2 linked regions of the Ovis aries genome follow. The protein of the gene in region 2 purifies or fractionates together with the protein of the main gene of each other region. This does not show direct contact. Links are inferred from orthologs where the notes say so. Each region holds a gene or a part of one and is shown on either strand. Other genes may lie near its edges.

Evidence for each region.
Region 1: the proteins of SMAD1 (region 2) and SKI purify together in Homo sapiens (affinity purification with western blotting, with the first as the bait; 3 studies listed by BioGRID). This does not show direct contact. The link is inferred for Ovis aries from reciprocal best matches to the Homo sapiens genes SMAD1 and SKI.

What each region holds. Positions count from the first base shown.
Region 1 is NC_056065.1:49,826,689-49,829,110, reverse strand, and holds part of SKI (ski oncogene), read left to right. Parts: intron 1-277; coding exon 278-508; intron 509-934; coding exon 935-1,123; 3' UTR 1,124-2,422. UniProt on the Homo sapiens protein: May play a role in terminal differentiation of skeletal muscle cells but not in the determination of cells to the myogenic lineage. Functions as a repressor of TGF-beta signaling.
Region 2 is NC_056070.1:12,812,412-12,816,066, forward strand, and holds part of SMAD1 (mothers against decapentaplegic homolog 1), read right to left. Parts: intron 1,732-3,655; coding exon 1,510-1,731; intron 1-1,509. UniProt on the Homo sapiens protein: Transcriptional modulator that plays a role in various cellular processes, including embryonic development, cell differentiation, and tissue homeostasis.

The sequences.
Region 1 (2,422 bases), on a different chromosome or scaffold from region 2:
TCCCTGGTCCTGGTTGGAGGTGTGGCTTCCCACATGCATATTCATGAGCATGTTTGCAGGGGTGGGGCTGAGTCCCCAGAAGGACCACCTCCTCCCCATCTGGCCGTGGGGCCTCTGGGGCCCTCAGGTGGTGCGGTGCCCGGGTGAGCCCCTCCCTGATACTGCGGATACACCCAGGGGCTGTGGGCAGTGCTCGGAGGGGACAGGGACCTACGGGGCAGGCGGGTGCTGGGGAGGCCTGGCGTGGGGGTGCCCCTGAGCTGGCTCCTCACCTCAGGAGCTGGAGTTTCTGCGCGTGGCCAAGAAGGAGAAGCTGCGGGAGGCCACGGAGGCCAAGCGCAGCCTGCGGAAGGAGATCGAGCGGCTCCGTGCGGAGAACGAGAAGAAGATGAAGGAGGCCAACGAGGCGCGGCTGCGCCTGAAGCGGGAGCTGGAGCAGGCGCGGCAAGCCCGCGTGTGTGACAAGGGCTGCGAGGCTGGCCGCCTGCGGGCCAAGTACTCTGCCCAGGTGCGCAGGGAGCCACGGGAGGCAGAGGTGGCGGGTGCGCCCTTGGCATCTCAGGGTCCCTCCCCTCCTTGCCAGGCCGTCTGTATGTGGGGAGCTGCTCGGCTTCGGGCCCATCCTCCGTGGGGTGATGTGGCCCTAGGCTCTCCTCTCTTGTCCTGGAAGAGGGCTGAGCTCACCCTCACATGCCCATGAATGTCTCAGCTGGTCCCCATGGCCATGCTGAGCAGCAGGCTCCCAGGGATGGGGGTTGGGTGTCGTCCCCTGTCTTAGGGTCTTTGGAGACGGTGCTGGTCCTCCTACTGAGCTCACCAGCAGGTCCAGTGGGTGGCGTGGGAGGCGAGTATGTGATGGCCGGAGGGTCAGCCCGGCGCCAGGCAGCGACAGGGTGGGTGGGGAGCAGCTGGCTAATGCAGGCGTCCCTTTCAGATCGAGGACCTGCAGGTGAAGCTGCAGCACGCAGAGGCCGATCGTGAGCAGCTGCGGGCCGACCTGCTGCGAGAGCGGGAGGCCCGGGAGCACCTGGAGAAGGTGGTGAAGGGGCTGCAGGAGCAGCTGTGGCCGCGGCCCCACTCCGAGGCTGCAGGTGGCGAGAGTACGGCCGAGCTGGAGCCCTAGCCGAACCCACTGTCTGCTGCGCAGGGCGGATGCCACAAGGCGGGCGGGCGGCAGGGTTGGGGCTCCGTGCCAGCAGGACGCCCCCCTCCAGTCCTTATAGCACAACGTCTTACTGTGCCTAGAACCAAGCAAGTGTTTGGAACCACATACTTTTGGAATCCACTGCAAAATTTTCTACTGGCCAAGTTCAAGCGTGCAAGCCGGTTCCCAACTGCCCCAGAGACGAGGCCAGCTCGGTGGTTGTGGCTGGCCCTCTGCTTGCCGGAACGTTCTAACATTTACACTTTTGTTATAAGCTATTTAAAACCAATAAGGAGACTTGATATTCAGAAAAATCAACACGTTTTTTAATGACTAACTTTTAAAAGCCCCACCCACACGTGATGCCCCCCGAGGACCCACATGGGAGCCAGGGTGGCCCCCGTCCTGCCCCTCGAAGCCATCGCAGCTTGTCTGCACCTGCGGCCGCGTGACCACACGAAGGGTTTTTCTCCAGAGTCTATTTTTTCAGCGACAAGGACCTGTCTCCCGCACTGTCGGGGGAGGACCCGGGGAGTGCCGCGTGCACGCGAGCTGGAACACTGCCGCCTTACCCACCTACCGGCCCCCGCCACCCACAGGGTCGTCTGCAGGGGCGTCCGCAGGGGTGCTCAGGCGGGCGGCGGGGGTGGGTCCGCGCTGGCCGGGCATGTGCCCTTCTCCACGCGCCCCTCCGTCCAGCTGGTGCCCCACAGAGGCGTCTGCAGGGGTGCTTGGCGGGGTGGCGGAGGTGGGTCCGCGCTGGCCGGGCACGCGCCCTCCTCCTCACGCCCCTCCATCTGGCCGGCGGCACGCCTTCTGTTTGGGCCGAGGCTGCAGCATTGCAACAAACACAGCATTATTTCAGTTTTTCTTTTTTCCTTTTGTTTGTTCGTTCATTTAAACGTATACTTAGAACTGCACTTTGTCAAAAACCTTCCCCTTCTCTTTTTATTCCCCAGTTAACTGAGGTTTTTACTTTCAGATACTGCAAACCGATTTCTAGAGCATCCACATCCTAAGTGCTCGAGTGTCTAGAAACCCCTCTGGTGCTTGGTTGAACAAGGGAATCACACGAAACGAAAACGCAAAAACTGAACTTCGGGGGGTGGTTCTGTGCCTTCCAGCGTCTTGTACAGCAAACCCTGACTCGTCTTCTTCCCCCAGAATACGTCTCCAGTAGCTGTTGGATCTGCCATGATCACAATGAGTTACCTGCATTTATTCCAAATAATCGCGTTTACTCTCAACTGTATGCGAATTGTATAAGGTTTCTTATGC
Region 2 (3,655 bases):
TTCATTTACTTATCTATTATTGGTATGGACTTACGAATTACTATTGTTCTCCAGTGGTTTAAAACTCATCGCTGTATTTTATTATTTCAGCGTTTCAATTATCCAAGCTGGCAGTGGAAATCACTCCAAGTTGGCTCCTGTGACATGCCTCCATCGTGCGTACATATTTCTTTACTTTCAGCCATAACAAAACATTCTACGCTCATTTTGTGCCCACCTATTCCAGCCTTGAAGTCAGCCCTTTCTCCAAAGTCTGGGTTCCTCTCTAGCAACATGGTGTCAAGAAATGATGATCTGATCACTGTATGTGCTTAGCGCTGCTGGGTATCGTTGCCTCTTGACCCTTTTAGCATATGAATCAAAAACTATATGCATACAGATCAAACCCAATAGATGAATCAGAAACTATATGCATGCAGAAACACATCTATTGGATTGGTCCAAAAGTTTGTTCGGCTTTTTCTGTAACATGGAAAAAAATCCAAACTTTTTGGCCAACCCAATACATAAGCCTTCATTCACACACATATACAGGAGACCAAACATGTTATGCACACACACATATACACACTACTAAAATCATAACTTCACACTAAAACTTTCACAGGGTTTATTTTTTACCCTCCTCCACACCTGTATGCTTCTTATACCACAGTGAAAACCCAGGTTCCCCACAGCATCCACACATTCAGTCATTTGCTTAATTTTATAATATGAATACATCTTAAAGTTTCGTAACTGTTTCCTTCATTCTGCCACTAAATAATCAAGACTACTCTAAAGAGTTCAGGATATGTTTGTTGGCACTCTACCTTACCTGGTCCAGGCCAAGGATATGCAAATACTATGTTAGTTGCTCAGTTGTGTCCGACTCTCTGCGACCCCATGGACTGCAACTCACCAGTCTCTTTTGTCCATGGGATTTCCCAGGCAAGAATACTGGAGAGGGTTGTCATTTCCTACTCCAGGGGATCTTCCCAACCCTGAGATTGAACCCAGGTCTCTTGCATTACTACTATATTCATAAGTTATTTTGAAGTTTTTTTTCCCCAGTAAGTTAATGCATTCCACTTAAAATACATTAGCGTTTACCTGTTTGCGTTTGCTTTTAGTTTTAGGTTGTAAAGAATTTTTAACAGCTATTTCGTTCTGCAGCAAAACGTATGATAGATTAGTATCCCCAAATAGCACATCACAATTTCAACTAATTAAATAACAATTATGAGTCAGTAGACCACAAAAATCACTGACTGGGAAATGAAGAACTTCCTGACGACATAAATTGAAACAGTATTTACAAACTGGAGCTGCTGCTGCTGCTTAGTCTCGTCAGTCGTGTCCGACTCTGTGCGACCTCACAGACGGCAGCCCAACAGGCTCCTCTGTCCCTGGCATTCTGCAACAGGTGTTTATTATCTGGCGTTGGCTCCAGGAAAGACTGCCGGTCAGTTCTGGGGGAAGGAGAACACAACAGACAGACGTTCAAGAGAAGCTCCAGCGAAGGCTCACCTTTTCCGATATGCCGCCTCGTGTTTTCGATGGTGGAATTCCGGTTAACGTTGGAGAGCAGCCCGAGGCAGAAGCGGTTCTTGTTGTTGGAAGGATCGGTGAAACCATCCACCAACACGCTCGTGGAGGAGGCATGGAACGCTTCGCCCACGCGATTGTTGAGCTCATAGTAGACAATAGAGCACCAGTGTTTCGGCTCCTCATAAGCAACCGCCTGAACATCTGCAAGAAAGGAAAGCTTAGAGTCAACCACGGGGAGTGCCCCGGGCGTTCGAAAACTGAAACTGTGGCGTAAAGTTGGCTCAGGGTCGTGGAATGAAGATGTGACATGCCACCACTATTATCAGGTACAGAGTTTACCTCTGATCTTGGAAGCAGCGGCTCCTTGCTAAGCGGGGCATTCACCTTGCGTTGGAAGACAGTTTTCTCTGATGGCTATCGGATCAACAAGACAACTGCTAAGCACGCCAGCAGTATGTGCTGGACACTCCCAGGACACTGCTGGCTCTATAATTTGCCAAAATGGAAATGACCCCACCACTGACCCTGGCTCACCATCTAAAGAAAGGCAACAAGTGGCAAGTGAAAAAAACAAGTGGGGAGAGAACAATAGAGGACAGGAAATATGCCAAAGGTGCTGGCACAAAAAAGGAATGACTCTGGACAATGTCTCAGTACACCGATGCTTTTCCAAAGCAATGAAAAATCAGTTTCTAATTATTGATAAGAAGTTACTTGACTTCATGTTGCCAGTAACTCTCACAGTTACAGCCTTGCTCCAGTCCTCAAACTCAGGAAGAAATCCTGCCAGCTGGCCATTCTTCCTGGATGAATCATATCTCTCTCACCCAGATTTCATGCTAACTTCCTTATATTTGCTTTAAGTCATGCAGAGCAGGTGTGTTTTGTCTCTCCATTCCCAGAATGGGCCAACAATGGAAATTACCCAACTTTACTGACAGGATGCAGCTTGTTAAGTCAAATCTCTTAAGACTAACAAATCTCCAAACAGAACATGCTTCTAAACATTTGCAACTAAAAGGTTCTAAAGATAAGTTCCTTCTGCAGTAAAACCTCTTATAGATTCCAGGAATATAAACCATATATTTCCACTGTGCCAATATGTAATGATCTGAGGTTTTATGAAGCCTGGAGTATACAATCGTTAAAAAAAAAAAAGAAAATCCATGTTGGAAGCATGAACTCTGTTAAAGGAGAATGACCTCTGTGTTCTGAACATCAACCTCCATGAATATTAAAATGCCCCTTACTTTAGAATACGGTAAAGAAATTAAGAAAAACAATCATTAAAAAAAATCCATCCATACATTAGCTGCTTTATACATTTAAGCAGGTGAGTTGAAAACAAACACCATCTTCCATGATTGCTAAGTGTCATCCCATGTCAATCAGCAAGGTTCTTTCAGATTTATAGGTACCAAATCTTAAAGAAGGCTGCAACATCATTAAGAGAAGGCTTTAATCAGCTACCAGGATCATTCAAAGTACTATTCATCTAGCTTGGAGACTGACAAGTTTTTTCTGTAAAAGGCCAGTAAGGTCTTAGAGGCCACACAGTCTCTATGGCCACTATTCAACTGTGCCCTAGCTGTGCAAAAACATCCACAGATAATATGTAATGAATAAACATGGACACGTCCCAATAAAGCTTTATTTATAAAAATAGGCAGCAGGCTGACGTGGCCTGTGGGCTGCAGTGTGCTGACCCCTTGCTCCAGGAAAACCACCAAGGTTCAACAAAGCCGACAGTCCTTAGAAAAACATTAACTGTAAACTTACTTTCTAATGGGGAAGCAATTTCTAGCCATTTAAAGGAAAGATCTGAAAGCCAATTAAAAGTCTGTTTTCTGAAATCAGACACTCTGGGTTTAACAACCATGGCCGCAAGTCCACATGCTCGTAACCGTTTCAGGCTGTGCCTGTTCTCTTCTGTTCCCCAAATACACGTTCCAAAGGTGTGTGAGACAGGAGTTATTTTCTCCAACCAGAATCTTTGTCAGCTCATAATTATATGTTTGAGAGGATGCTTCACAGATTATCAAAATCCAGAGGCAGTAAAAACATAAAACACATAGCCAATAAAAAAGATATAAGAAATATTTACACCTTAAAAAGGTATGACTTC